Linked DNA regions of Diceros bicornis minor. The protein of the gene in region 2 interacts with the protein of the main gene of each other region in a pairwise test. Links are inferred from orthologs where the notes say so. Each region holds a gene or a part of one and is shown on either strand. Other genes may lie near its edges.

Region 1 (7,893 bases), on a different chromosome or scaffold from region 2:
CCCCGGAATCGTGTGCTGGGCTGGTCCCCCTTGGTGAGTATCTTTGGAGTCCTTCCTGACCTGGCGACGCCATCTCTGACGATGGACTTACCCCCTTGCCTTTCTACGCTCCTGTGACTCCTTGGGCCCTGTAATGGTGAGGAGAATACTCCTACCAGCCCATGTTTACTCCCCTATGGTGACATCCACACCTCCATACAGTTCTGACTCACCCCAGTTCTCCTAGAGCCCTGGATTCTCCCCTCCAAACCCCCTTTCTCATGCTCCCTCCAAACACTGCTTCAGGGGCTGCCCGCAGGGCATGCTGGTGGGTAAAGAGGGGCAGAGGTCACTGGTTGCCATGGTGACCGTGGCTGCTTCTCTTCTGCCGTTAGAGCGCTAACGGACAACAGGGCGGGTCTGGGTAAGTTGTAGAGGCGGGAGCGCCCCCTGGCGGGCTCTGGGAAGCTGCGCCTGCGCAGCCTGTGAGACTAAGAGGGAGAAAATGCGCCTGCGTAGTAGCGGCATTCTCATCGCTGTGAGAAAACCTGTCTGGGGCTGTGCAAGTCAGTGGACTGGCCAGGAGAGGGCTCCACCTCAGGCAGGAAGGCTGCTTCTGGCAGTCTGTGTGCCCACGCGGGGCTTCTAGAGTGGGGTGGCTTTGTGGCCAGTAACATTTATGCCTTTTATTGAGCACCGACTGTATGCCTCAGGCTTTTTGCTTCATTATAAAAGCTTATAGTATTCCAAATTCCACTAAGACCTTCGTTCAACACGGTTCTAGGTGCTTGGTGACAATGACAAAATATCACATGATAACATTATTGAGTTCTTACTTTGTGCCAGTTCCTTTGCAATTAATCACTTTCAGCTATTTAACATTTGTATATTGAGCACCTGCTGTGTGCCAGACACAATTCTAGGCAATTCACAAAATACCACATTTATTGAGAGCTCGTTTTGTGCTAGGTCCTTTTCTACTAGTTGTTTTCACCTATTTAACAAATATGTATTGAGCCCTGTTAGCCAGCACTGTTCTAGCGCTTGAGCTATGTCAGTGAACAAAACAGACAAACCATTGTGGGAGAGCAAAATTTGGCCACCCCAAAATATATCTCTTTACCTTGATTATTTTCTCTGATGGACATTTGACCTCCCCCAAACTGCCTAAAGAATTTAACATAGAAAACCTGTTTCAGGAAGGAGCCACTGTCTCTTGATGGGTGTAATATAATGTAAAATAGATGTTACAATAGGAAAGGCACCAACAAGCCCATCTTATCAAAAGTTCTGTCTCCCCCAGGCCACATTCTGTAGATGGTCCTGCAAAGAGTTGCCAGACAAACATTTACATTTATAAGGGAAATATCCATTTGTAAAGGTACCTCCCTCCCTACTGGGAAGAGGGGGGATGACCTCATTTCTAGAAACTTATCAGTGTGGAAGAGGAGGCCTTAAATCTGCATGATAACCTTACTCTTGTTTACTGTGCTTTTCTGGTAATCTCCCACAACTGACTCCCCCCCTCCCCCAACATCCTCCTTTGTCTTTAGGTGAAGATAGTATTTAAGATGAGAATCTCTGCCATTTTGTTGAGAAACTCAGTTTCCCTGGTTTCTCCCATGTATACATGTTATTAAACTTGGTATTATTTTCTCCTGCTAACCTGTCTTTTAATTATTTGGCCAGCCATAGAGCCTTAAGGGAAAGGGCGGTGGCGGCTGGGGGGGGATTCTCCCTCTTCCCCAACACCATTATACAATAATAGTATTTACTGAGTGCTAACTCCATGCCAGACTCTATGCTATACTTTCATCTATTGGACAGACATTTATTGAGTACCTGCTGGGTGTAAAGTACTGTTCTACTCTCCTTGGAGATGTCCTTGAACAAAACAGATAAAGTATTACACAGTAGTGTTCATCAGTTGCTGCTTCTGCCAAAGGCCTTTTGTTAAGAACCACTTTCATTTATTCTTCAAATATTTAGTGAGCTCCTGTTACATGCCAGATGTGCACAGGCTTTAGGCTCAATTCACCTTCCCAGTGGCTGTGTGAGTTTGAGCCCTTAAGACAAGGAAACTGAGGTCCAGGGAGGAAAGCAGGTTGCTCAAGGCCACACAGTTAGGAGGCTGAGGGTCTATGATTTAAGTTCAGGTGAAAAGTCAGCCTCAGAGCTGCTGGCCTGATGTCTGTGTTCTCTTTGCTCTCCCTGCTTCCCCCCACAGTCAGACTCGGTCACATGCCCACTAGAAGTGGCCCTGCTATGGAAGGTGGGTGCAGGTGGTGGACACCCTGGTGTGATTCGCCTGCTTGACTGGTTTGAGACACCAGAGGGATTCATGCTGGTCCTCGAGCGGCCTTTGCCCGCCCAGGATCTCTTTGACTACATCACAGAGCAGGGCCCATTGGGTGAAGCCCGAAGCCGCTGCCTCTTTGCCCAGGTAGTGGCAGCCGTTCGGCACTGCCATGCCCGTGGAGTTGTCCATCGTGACATCAAGGATGAGAACATCCTAATGGACCTCCGCCGGGGCTGTGCCAAACTCATCGATTTTGGTTCTGGCGCCCTGCTTCATGATGAACCCTACACTGACTTTGATGGTAAGGCTTCCCTAAATCTCAGTGCGGGGGGGATTTACCTTTTATCTTGATGGCCTCTTGACCTTTGACTTCCAGTGGTAAGGTGTGCTGTAACCCTTGATCTATAATGTACCGTTATAAGGTTCTTGATTTTTAATATTGGGGACTCTCAAGCCTTGCCCTCTGATAAAGTCCATCTTCTGACAGCGCTCTCACCTTGTTCTGGGCTCTTATTCTGCTGAGGGGATCCTGTTATTATCCTGAGTATTCTTTTTCTGGTAAGGGGATCCTACTTTTAAGTGCTTTAATCCGTTGAGAGTAATCTTTTATCTTAATTGCGCTCTTTCTGGTGATGAGACCCTGCTGTTATAAAGAGCTCCTATTCTGGTAAGGGGACCCTCATATAGAGTGAGTTATCTTAATTCTGGTGAGGGGACCATACTTCCTGGGGAGAGTGGGGTGGGAAGAAGGGCATTAACAGAGAGTGGTCTAACCTCTGGCTTGCGTGCAGGGACAAGGGTGTACAGCCCCCCAGAGTGGATCTCTCATCATCAGTACCACGCACTCCCAGCCACTGTCTGGTCACTGGGTATCCTCCTCTACGACATGGTGTGTGGGGACATTCCCTTCGAGAGGGACCAAGAGATTCTGGAGGCTGAGCTCCACTTCCCTGCCCATGTCTCCCCAGGTGAGGCCCTCACTGGCCCCAGCCCAGTGGACTCCATCCCTCCCAGTGACTAGTGCTCGCAACTGCTAATCTCTTGTGTGCTTCTGCCCTGCAGACTGCTGTGCCCTCATCCGCCGGTGCCTGGCCCCCAAACCCTCTGCCCGACCCTCACTGGAGGAGATCCTGCTGGACCCCTGGATGCAGACACCAGCCGAGGATGCACCCCTCAGTGCCCCCAAAGGAGGTCCCACCCCTTTGGCTTGGTCCCTGATGCCCTAGTCCTGGCCAGGCCCCCACTAGTTGGAATAGCCATCCCATGGCCATGCCGCAGGGATAGATGGACATATGTTGACCTGGTTTTACAGGTCACTAAAAATTCAGTGTTACTAGGGTCTGAGATTGGGGATCAAAGGTCAGAAGACATAAGCCAAGTCTGCCCAGTCCCCATCCCAATCCTGCTAAGGAGCCTTCCTCCCAGAATTTATGGCCTCTTATTCTGGAGCGGGGACTTCTCATTTTGCTAAGGATGTTTATTTGCTTGGAAGTTACTTTCATTCTGAGCCCCAGGACTCTTATTGTGATGTTATAACCCCTACACTAGCACCTCCTGCTACCACCACACAAACTTAGTTCAAATGCTCTTACTTGGGCAAGGGTGCTTTCCTTCTAATACCCCAGCAGCTCATATTTTAGCAAAGGGACCCTTTCCCCGAGCCTAGGGTCCCATATTCAGTTAAGCTGCTTGCCTACCTCAGCCCAGGGTTGCTTATTCTGGGGGAGGTAATGCCCTATTGTTATCCCAGGGCTCTTTTTTTTTTCTTTCTTTCTTTTTGTGAGGGGACCCTACTCTGTTATCCCAAGTGCTCTTATTCTGGTGAGGAGAACCCTACTTCCATGATTTGGGAAGGAATGGGAGATGGACACCACCAGAGTCCACTAGGATGGGGTGAATGGGTTTTTTTTTTGAGGGATGGGGTGGGGGAAATAAGTCTTATTGTTTGTTCTCCTGGGGCTCCCCCCTCCACCTTTTTCAATTCTTGCTGCCTCCTTCTGAGCCAGGATTGTCCAGTTGCTGAAATGTAAATACTTATGTATTAGGGGGAGGGGAGCTCCAACTGTGTCCTCTTCCCTTCTCCCCCTGCCTGGATTATTTAAAAAGCCATGTGTGGAAACCCACTATTTAATAAATGTAATAGAATCAGAAGTGACTGGCCATTTGTGGATGCAGCAAGGAAACCCACTGTTTAATAAATGTAATAGAATCACAAGCGACTGGCCATGTGTAGATGTATGTAGCAAGGCATTTGTGGAGCATCTACTGTATGCTGAGCCAAGAGCGAGATGGACTGGATCCCTATGCCTTCAGGAAGCCTCAGTCTTGTGGTGCCATCCTAAAGATCTTTTATGGGTTCATTTAAGCAGGACCACAAAGAAAAACTGTTGATCCCCCCCAGCTCTTACGTAGCACCCAGTATGTGCAGAAGGGCTCCACTGCAGATTTTGTAGACACTGAAGATGTTTGGGACACATCCCCAAATCAAAGATGGCCAGCTCAGAGGCAGAGAAAACTCCTTTCCCCCAGTCCCAGGGGAGGAAATAAATCCCTTCCCCCTGGGAGAAGAAAAGCACTTTCAGGGTACTGGTGAGGACGGCCCGGGGTTGAGCGCTGAGAGGAATCTTTCCAGCCCATCCTTGTTTTTTAATAACGTCCAGGTGTACTCACCTGTTTTGCCCTTACCTTTTCACCTCTCCCTTGCCTTCTCACCTGCTCATCCCTGTCATCTCTCCTTTCTCAACTCTTGACTTACCTGCCCTGCCATGTTCTATCTTGGTTTCACTTGTCCTGACCTCAGCTGTACCCTTTCTTGCCCTGCTTCCAAAAGCTAACCTGTAAGCCTCTCACCTGCTGGCTTACCTGTCCCCTTCTCACTTTTCCATCCTCAGTGGTGAGTAACTTGTCCTCCCTTCTCTCAGTCTCAACTCACCTGTGCCTTTTCATTAGTATATCCTCTGCTGCTCTGCTTTTATCTGCTGGCTTACCTGCCTGACTCGCACCTGCCCCATCCCCTCAAAGTCTCATTGCCCTCCCAGATGCCCGCGGGCTCTCCAGGGAGCGGGCCCTCGCCAGAAGAGGGGAAAGAGGAACTTAAGGCCAACCGGGAAGGACCTACGAGTTTTGATGCGGAAAGGGCGGTGCCATCTGAAGAAGGTGCCAACAAATAGCCAAGATAGAAGAGGGGCAGCCGAACCAATGAGACGAGGAGTCGGGATGGGCGGGTGATACGGAAAGCGGAATCAAGGAGGACGAGGGCGGGTCTACTAACGAGAATGGGCCAATGAGGCGCTGCAAGGACGGCGGGAGGCTGACCTGGCGGCGTGCCGGGTCTCCAGATCTCGACGGAATTTGGAAATCCCGAGACCGCTGTCTTAGATTCCGTGTTCAGGAGCGGAGGAGAAAAGCCACTGCTAGGGCCAGCCCCTCATTCGCCCCAGCCCCATCCCGGAGGCCCGGAAGCGGAAGTGACGGACACGGAAGTGGCCTGCTGTTGCCGAGGGGACGGGCCAGGCAGATGCCAACATGGCAGCGGTTGGGTCTGGCGGTTCCACCGCGGCGGCCGGGCCAGGGGCGGTCTCTGCGGGGACGCTGGAGCCTGGAACCGCGAGTGCGGGTGAGACAGGCTGTGGCCGAGCAGTCGGCAACGGGGCGGGGGTCGGGATCGCCGGGGGGGGAGGGGGGGGCGTCAGGAAGGTTCCTTACTGAAGCGAGAGACAGCATCCCATATGGACCGACCTATGTGTGAGTGTGGTGGGGAGGGGGTAGGGAGTACGGAACGAACCATTGTGAGTGTTGGGGGCGGGGAAGAGACCATTCTGAGGGTGGGGGGGGTCCCTTCCACATATGGAGAGTAGAGACCACTCTGAGTCTGGGGGTGGTATTTTCTTTTGGGGAGGCTGAGACCACTAAGGCCATTCTGAGTGTGTGAGGTCTGTCCTTATAGAAGGGAGAAACCATTCTGCGAGTGGAAGAGTTCGTCCTTATAGAAGGGAGAAGCTATTCTGAGTGTGATGGTTTCTTCCTTATAAAGGGACAGAGGCTATTGTGAGTTAAGGTGGGGCAGGTCCTTCCTTGCATGATTTAGAAAGTCCATTTTGAGGATGGGGATGTGCTTCATTATACGGAGAGACCGTTCTGGGGGTCCCTTCCTAATGGAGGTAGGGTTAGTTGTATGTTGGAGTCGGAGGGTCCTTCCTTATATGGCAGAGACAGGACGTTCTGAGTGTGCTAGGCCCTTCCTTATAGTAGGGAGAGTCCATTGTGAGTGTGAGTGGAACAAGGAATAACTCCTTGGCTGGAGGTAGGGGGATGCGGTGGTGGGAGGATGACTGGACCATGTGGAATGTAGGGAAATATTTCCTTATATCATTGAGGGAACCAGACCATTCTTGGTGGAATAACCATTCATTATATGGGGTTCAATCCTTGGGACAGTGGGGGAATCATTTCTTATATTTGCTAGACCATTCTAGGTCAGGAGGAATCAGTCATCATAGGAAAGAGGGGCTGGAGAGACCATTCTGAGTGTGAGGGAATGGAATAATTTATTATATGGGAGAAAGACCATTCCTTAGGGGGTGGACATGTCTTATACAGTGGTCCCATTCCCTGTATTGGGGTATCATTCTTTACATGGGACAGTCCCTCATTTAATAGAAGCATCATTTCATATAAATCTTCGGTTTGCACATCCATAAAATGAGAATCCTTATAGTTCCTTTGGAGATCAGAGCGATATAGGGGTCTGTTGAGGTAATCCATATAAATCCCTTAGCCCAGTGATAGGCACACAGTAAGCAGTCAATAAATGTCGAGAATATAGTTGGTATTCTGTCTGGAGGAGGGTTGTTTCTCACTCAGGAGAGGGAGAGAGGGGGCTGAGGTGGGTCTCCAGTGCCTGCTTCAGCCGTTTCCTGATACCTCAGCAAGGATTCCAGGTATGGGCTGGACAGGGTGGGGCCCACTTCCCCCTTTCTGGCTCTTCCTGCCTGTGGCTGAGGCAGTAGAAGCAAGCAGGCGGGATCAGACCTTCATTGGGTCAGATAGGCAGGCCGAGGGAGGAAGTGGTGGTGGCTAGGAGGATCCTGGTTGAGAAAGGAGAGGAGAGGGTGGCGGTGGGGCTATACCACGGCAGCTTCTGACTCCTTCTTCCCCCTTGCTCTTTCCATTCCCACAGCTCACCGGCGCCTCAAATACATATCCCTAGCCGTGCTGGTGGTCCAGAATGCCTCCCTCATCCTCAGCATCCGCTATGCCCGCACGCTGCCTGGGGATCGCTTCTTTGCCACCACTGCTGTGGTCATGGCCGAAGTGCTCAAAGGTCTCACCTGCCTGCTGCTGCTCTTCGCACAGAAGAGGGGTACGAGCCAGGCAGGGGGGCTGCGCTGGGGTCTGTAGGCGAGACTCTACGTAGTGTGCGTGTGTGTGTGTGTGTATACGTACCCACACCCACATGTGGGGTTTGCTGTGGGAGTACTTCTATGTCTGTGAAACTGCCTAGGGAGTGTGAAGTGCAGCTAAGCTGCCTTGTCCCTTGAGCTCTGAGTAGCTGCAGCTACTCTTTTATAGCCCTAAGCCCCCGGGGGGCTGGCCCGTGTGGATTGTGGGACTGA
Region 2 (7,481 bases):
ACACTGCGACATACCCCGAATTACCACAGATCTCTGAAATGCCACAAGTCATTTCATCCCAGCCATTCCCTTCTGTTTCTGGTCTTCAGGTCGTGGCCTAGCTCCTAGTTCTCTAGCTCTCAAGGCTCTGCTCACGGCCCCCACTCCCAACCCAAGCTGGAAACTACAAGATCAGACTCAACAGATCTCAAGGAAACACACTGCAAGTCAGACTTAAAGACCTACCCTGAATTGATACGTCGTATTTTGGTATCTCTTAACAGTACCGTTGTTTGAACAAATACACACACATATACAGGAGCTGACAGATTCAAGAAATTAAGAGCTCATAATCTCTGGAGTTTTGGTACCAGAGCAATGATCCTGGTTTTAGGAATTCAGGGAAATTCATACAAAGAGAAAATAAGTGAATGGGCAAGGGGTCAAGTAGACCAAAGAGTATACGAATTATGGATGGGTTTCTGCATGTGTGAAATGCAACTTGAAATAACTTACAAAAATCACATTGCCTTAAAGCTATTTTACTTTTACTTCTCTATATATGTATATTTACATATATACATACATTTTATTTATTTCTATTTATGCTCACACACACACACACACCATTATATACATGATGCTGAAGAGTTAAAAGGTGACCGTAGCCAAAGGAATCTTTTCTAAAGTGATGTGAAGCATCCTAAAGCTTGTAGCAAATAAAACAGTTTAATACTATACAAATTTACATTTAAAAAGCTTTGAGTTTTGTAAATAAAATTCAATTAATATAGCAAACATTAAGAGAAGACATGAAACTTCATGAAAGACAGCCGATGTTTCTGGTCCTAAAAAGTATGTGAGGTATCTAGCAAGGCTGACACTGCGGTGAGAGAGAAACATCTCTGTGGCCATCTAAACAAAGAAAAACAGAGAATATAAATCCTTCAGAAAATAGGACTTTGTTTTTCATATTTTCCCCGATATGTATTGTTTTTCTCTTCAGGATCTCTGAGAAAGACAAAGTCTTTTATTACATACTTGGTCAATACCTATCTTATTTAGAATTTTCTTGAGAGAGAAAAAGTCAGAACATAATAATTGGTATTGATTTAAATCTATTCACGTGTATATGTTATGAAATATATATCGGGGTTGTATCTGAGGATTTTATTACAACAGACTGACATTAAATTTATTATCTGTTAATTAATATGATTTGAATAATCATTATGTATATAAAACACACATAGAAAAGAGAAAACTGATCTGGATGGAATATAGTATAAATTATACGAGTATTTCACAATAAGCCTAAAATTTCTTAGGTTTATCTATGGCTTTTTTATTCTTAAAGGGAAAATTAGTGGTAGTGGATATTTGCATACATCTACTCTATAATCAAAACAGTAAACTAGACTTTGGATCCTGGAGCATAAACACAAAGCAAATTATATCCTTTCAGAAACCGAATAAAACATTATGACAAATAACACATTAAAAACAGACTTAACATTATGAAGAAAGTAAACACTTAAAGAAAACTACTTACTTTGTTTGTCCATGATTTAAAGAAGTTCTGAAAAAGAAGACAATATTAATAGACTGTCTACAAATTTACAGGTGAAATTTGACTGTTGAAACAAGATACTCTGACAATAACACATAGGATATTCCTCTATTCAACCTAGTCTACCAGAATCTGGTCATTTAAACCCTTCGGCCTTGACCCCATTCCCCATGGCCGTGGCTCTGAGTAGGACTTTAGAAGTTGTGGGTCAGCCCAGGATGGGGGACAATTTCTAAAAACCTTGGGAGAAGAGGGTCCAATGACGCGACAGCAGGAAGGAAACACTGTTAGCCTAAGACCCCACATCGTAACCAAGTTAAAAATCAGAGCCTTCCAACCTAGACAACCTAAACGGAGCATGTGATCCAGTACCTGGCTTCAGGGCTGGGCTCCATGCACGGTTCAACAGGACAGATACAGAGGTTAGCTACCAGGTCACACTACTGCAAAGATCTCTGGCTTCCAGGTCCTGTGGAAGTGTTCTGCCCAACATGAACAGTAAATCTGAAGAGGCCTGACCCTTTGTTCTATGGTTCAAGTCCTGCTGTTAGCCAGAGAAGCCACTCTCAGGGGTTGTCATAGTTGTAGCACCATGACAATCCAACAGAAACTTTGTGTATGGTTACATACACAAAGGAAAATGATACACTACAGGAAAATAATAATAAAAAACATTGTACTCAGTACTTCTGCCTTCCGTTGCCTTGATCCCATCCTAGTCCTTTCCACTACTACCCAGTCACTATTTTCCCTATCTCTTCACCTTAAATCCAATCCCCTGTATGCCTGTTAATTACAATTAACATAGGAGGCAAAAACGCTGTTACCTGACTGTTTTATCTTGGACCCACACACCAATATGATCAGCCCTGCTCCTCTCAGGCCCTCTCCAGTCTTGGCTGCCCCTTTAATAACTCCTCCAACTGCGTCATCCTAAATGGTAAATAAAAGGCAACTGATGCCTCTATATCCTTAACTAAAATCTGGTGTTCCTAAGAAAAAAACCACGTCCTGCCTTTTCTTTTAATTTTATATCTTTATTATTGCCTACTTTAAGCTTAAAATTTCATAATCTAGTAAAACTCTTAAGAACAATTCAATTATAGTCACCTCTTAATTAAATATACTCAAGAAGTTCAGCAATGGGTGAAGAATTCAGAATGGGTTTACTTGGCCTTGGAATAAAGCAAAAATTTTGAGTTACTGATTTGATTTCTTGAATTTTCTTAGAATAACAGTAACCTGAGTTTTCATTAACTAGTTACAAACTAACTGCTGTGGACCTCCTCAGGCTAGAATGGCAAAAAGATTAAAATTTATGTTTTTCTGTAATTAATCCATAACATGATCAATAAGCTAATAAACACATGCAACCGAAGTAGGCTAAAAGTTTTCATAGGCCACACTTCTGTTTAGGGTCTGTCATAGAAAGAACTATAAAAGGAGACTAAATTCATACATACCAATGCCACAATTACTTTTGTCAGCCTCACATTTCCATGATCAAAGATTATATGTTAAAAGTAATACCCATTACCTTAAAATATGCCAAAAGTACCTTAAGAAATACACAAAATGAAAAGACTGAAGTTCTGCAGTGGAAATAGATAGTATCCCTTAATTAACACACTGCACTAAACATCTCTGAAGTGTTTATCTATCTTTTGTTGCTCCCAGGATACCACTCTTTACTATGCTTAATTAAAAAAAATGTTCTACGGCCTTTAACCAATTTAATGGCAATTTTAAAGGACTACTGTTTCCATCATTCTCCCTTTGCCTATATGTCAGAAAAGCACTCATTTCAAGGATAAATCCTGAATAATACCCACAGGAGGAACATAGGCAAGTCCCTCCATGTGGGGGGGACTTTAAAATTATTAAAATAAAATTTTTTTAATTTAAAAAAATTAAAATATTTTTAATTAAAACATTTTTTTTCTTACATTTAGTTGTTTGAGCCTGGGAAGTCCAGTGCCAGTCAGAAAGAAAGGATGTGCCAGAAGGAGAGGGAATTCATAAACGAATCTATGCATCATATTAGGAACAGGTGGAGGCTCTTAAGCAATGGAGCACCACAAGTTCCCCAGTCCTTGCCGAATGAGCACCAACTACGCACGCGAGAGTACTTACCCTTCACGGCCTCAGAGATCATTCCCCCCTCGCACACAAATCAAAGGAAGCAGAACTAAACAGACTCTAAAACAGGGCTCATTCCTTCATATTTGCTCTTTTCCTTCCTATTTGGTTACATTATTTTGAGTGAAACTGTAGGTTTGCGAAGATGAGTATCTGTTGTCAAAACTACTGCAGAACAAAATCGGGGTCCTCACTTTCCTGTAGGTTTTAGTATTTTTGTGGTTACATGGTATGTCAACCATGAAAAATGGTATGTCATAAGCTCTGTGCAAAAAGTTAAGTGACAGGTGTACCTGCAGATGTGCCAGGTGGAAGGAAGCACTTGGGGAATAAAGATGTCCACCAGGGTCATCCCTGTCCTCTCTCACTTCCTATCTTAAGGATTTTTTGATTTCCTCAAACTTAATGGGTCTATTACAAGACATAATATCACTCAGTTTTGGAAATGACTGGGCTGAGCCCTGGGTGAATTAATTAGTGAATTAATTAACATGGTAACTTTTAAATAATGCTTTCCACTACTCCTAGTAAGAAACAAATCCAGGAAAGACTTCCAAGAAAGAGAAAATCATATTTATCCTGTACTAAAAGAAAAACGTCTCTAATAAAGTCATATTAGGTATTGTACCTCTGGAATCTTAATTACTTCAGGACAAATACAGAACTTCAAATTAGAATCTGATGGACTCTGTTAAATGAGAGCTTCTGAGGAGATTAAGGCATCATATGCTATATACATATAAGTATATCTCTGTTAAGATTATTCCCTCAGGCACCATAAGCCCCACTGCTGCTCTGGGCTATTTGATGATTATAAACCTCCACTACCATGAAGACAGAGGAACACTGCAGGTGACATCCAATTATGGCTCCACAATCAGTTACAGTGAAACCCTTGACCCATCTCTTGAGTTCCTGAAATTTCTCTCTTATTGCTTCCAAAAAGTATTAACATAAAATCTGAAACCCAAGGGGGAAGCATCCCTAATTTTGGAAGATCCTAAAACTACTATGCCTATAAACTAGGCATAAACTAGATTTGGATTATTTATCCAAATTTACTTCTTAATTGCCTAAGAACAAATCAGTTAACTTTTTTCTCAGAGTCCCAAGATGGGGATCTATGTTCCGAATTATTTTAGCAAAATGTTACTGCTCTAAAAACAATCACAGAATTCTATGTCCCTAGCTTCCCATGAAGACGTGAGAATGAGACACTAGACTAGGAGGGGAGGAACCGGGCACAGGGAGTGGAGGACCCAACACTTGCTGAGGTAAGTCACAAATTAGAAAATTTCCACGTGGTTCAGCTTATGTCTGTAGGTAAATTTTGTGCATTTAAAAAGGTTTAGTTGACATCTAAGGACAAAAACATTTCATCTGTTGAACTGTGGTTTTGGTAAAAGATAAGCAGAGCACAGACAGATGGGTTTACACAAATAGGTGGGCCAAGATGGTGGTGAGAACTCGAGCACACCAGTCCACGGTACATGCAAGCTACGGGACAGAGGTGGGGTGGCTGAGGCCGATGGAGAAACGCAAGCCTGGTAACAGGGAGACTTCCCGGAAAACTCCACTCCTATATTTTAGGTTCAAGAAAACAAAGCAAATGTGTTCAGAACCATTTTGGATAGCATGTTATTGTAAACCTTGAAGAAAAAAGTAGATATTACATCAACTGGGACGAACAGAGAGAGGGGTGTCAAGGGGTCTACAAGTAAACCAGGGACAAAGGAAACAAACGCATCTTCATGTGAGTTATCCTAGGCTGGCTGTTTCCTTATTCCTGAAAAGCCTTTGCTGACAAGTGAGCTCCCTCACACGTTTGAGTCGTTTCCTTTCCTCCTTATAAGTGAGGAAACTATAACCAGGGAGTAAATGAGCACTCAACGTTCTACAGCTCACTCACTAGCTGAATTACAGTAACTCAGGACTCATGCCCTTTGCATTCATGTCCTTGATTCATTGAAAAAAAAGACATTCTCTCAAATTGTCAAGTTTCTTGGAAACTTGTTAAAAGACTATTTATGATATCTTACGTAAGGCAGAAAGCATGGAATTTTAAATTTACTCGTGGCCATTGTGTTTTTATTAGGCCAGGCAAAAGTTTTTTCTAAGCGCTTATTAAATTCAAAATTTGGAAAATGAAAAGCACAGTTGTTAGTATTGAGTAACTGCAGTGCTTTGGCTTTTTAAATTTAGCACTATTTAAGAAAGTGCAGTACAGACACATATATATAAAGGCATGTGTACATATATAGACATGTATGTAAATATTCACTTAGTATAAAGCTTGTGCCTTTTTTCAAAGAATATTGATTGAAGGCCTAGAGCATGTAAGGCAATGTAACAACCACTAGAACAGAATGACTGACAATTAACAATATACGATTACAAATACTCTAAGTGCTGTGAAAAATCATAATGGCGCTCTAAGAAAGAGTTATGAGGGCACTCATTTAGATTGGGGGCGGCTTGTCAAGAAAGTCAGAGCAGAAGGAAGTCTAAAATCAACCAACCAGACCATGGAGGTGTTGGGGGCGGGGGAGGGGAGAGGCATTATAGACAGAGGGGACAGAGGAGACTGCATAAGTGGAAGTCCTGTGGCAGGAAGGAGCTTGGCTCATTCAAGGGAATGAAAGGTCTGTGTGTTACAGAGCAAAAGAGGAAGAGACCACTCGACATAGGGCTGGAGAGGGGTACAGGGGACAGTTCTTGCACCTTTAATGGCTCTCCACCTATACTCTAAGCTCTCAAAGGCCAGATCACTGCCTGTCTTGTCCAGGACAAGACACTTAATTGGTGCTTGTTGATTCAACAATGTGTGTACAGTATTATTTCACTCCTTTCTGTTGGAAAGAACAGTTCCCTTACAGATGCGAAGGCTGCTTAATCTGTAACCAACCATTTTACCTGTCTCTTCTCCACCCCACTGTGGAAATCCACTTACTTCTCTTTTCATTTATGTTTCACTTCCTTGTGTATTGTATACACCCTTGTGTAAGGTGCACTAAGAGAAAGTTCTGCTGTGACCAAAGTTCAAGAAAAAGGGGGCCCAAAATCACTTGACACTTCCTATTAAGCAAGTGACAATTGTACTAACCCCGTACCTCCTCTTGCTACACTAGGAGAAACAATGACTGTTCCTGGGACAGGAAAGTAGCCACCCCAGGCCTTCCAGTAATAACTGTATAAATCAGATCACGTGGAAACTAGATGGTGTGCTTGGGGAAGAAGGGACTTTGTCAAATAGCAATAAAAACTAACTTTTATTGGGTATTTTCTGTAGTGCCAGACACTACTCTAACCACGTCACAGTAATACATGTCTTACTGTAACTCTTGTAACTCTTTCTAATCGTTACACGATTTCAGTGGTGATGCGTGGAAGAAACTGATGCGAAGGAACTGGCCTGAACCCCACAGATAGTAGCAGAGGCAGGAATCAGCCCATGCAAGTGGGCTCCCGAGCTAATGGTCTAGCCTCTCTGCTAGAAACCTACTCTGTCTTTGCAATCCTGGTGTTCCACAGTGCCTAGCATAGTTTTGTGCTCCAGCCATACTCCTAATTAATACTTACTGTTAGATGACAGCTAGCAGGCTGTAGTAATCGTCCCTTCTAATTCCCCCAATATGCTGGCAGATACTCCTGAGCCAGGTTCTTGCCCTGATTCAGCGCTGCTCTCTGCTGCGATGAGAAGAGACGTACTAAGCGGAAGCCGAGCCTTCAAGGCGGTTTCAGGCAGGATACACCTTGTCATTGGAAAGGTCCTGGGACTGGCTAGTGGTACCGT

The links.
Region 1: the proteins of phospholipid scramblase 1-like (region 2) and SLC35A2 interact in a two-hybrid assay, tested with the Homo sapiens proteins (2 studies listed by BioGRID and IntAct). The two-hybrid records come from large-scale screens. The link is inferred for Diceros bicornis minor from reciprocal best matches to the Homo sapiens genes PLSCR1 and SLC35A2.

What each region holds. Positions count from the first base shown.
Region 1 is NC_080781.1:42,171,776-42,179,668, reverse strand, and holds the start of SLC35A2 (UDP-galactose translocator), read left to right. Parts: upstream 1-4,580; 5' UTR 4,581-5,803; coding exon 5,804-5,894; intron 5,895-7,457; coding exon 7,458-7,640; intron 7,641-7,893. Other genes in the region: PIM2 (serine/threonine-protein kinase pim-2), read left to right, coding at 1-33, 2,207-2,579, 3,070-3,246, 3,341-3,504. UniProt on the Homo sapiens protein: Transports uridine diphosphate galactose (UDP-galactose) from the cytosol into the Golgi apparatus, functioning as an antiporter that exchanges UDP-galactose for UMP.
Region 2 is NC_080741.1:8,031,295-8,038,775, reverse strand, and holds the start of phospholipid scramblase 1-like, read right to left. Parts: upstream 3,087-7,481; 5' UTR 2,660-3,086; intron 1,559-2,659; 5' UTR 1,545-1,558; coding exon 1,532-1,544; intron 1-1,531. UniProt on the Homo sapiens protein: Catalyzes calcium-induced ATP-independent rapid bidirectional and non-specific movement of phospholipids (lipid scrambling or lipid flip-flop) between the inner and outer leaflet of the plasma membrane resulting in collapse of the phospholipid asymmetry which leads to phosphatidylserine externalization on the cell surface.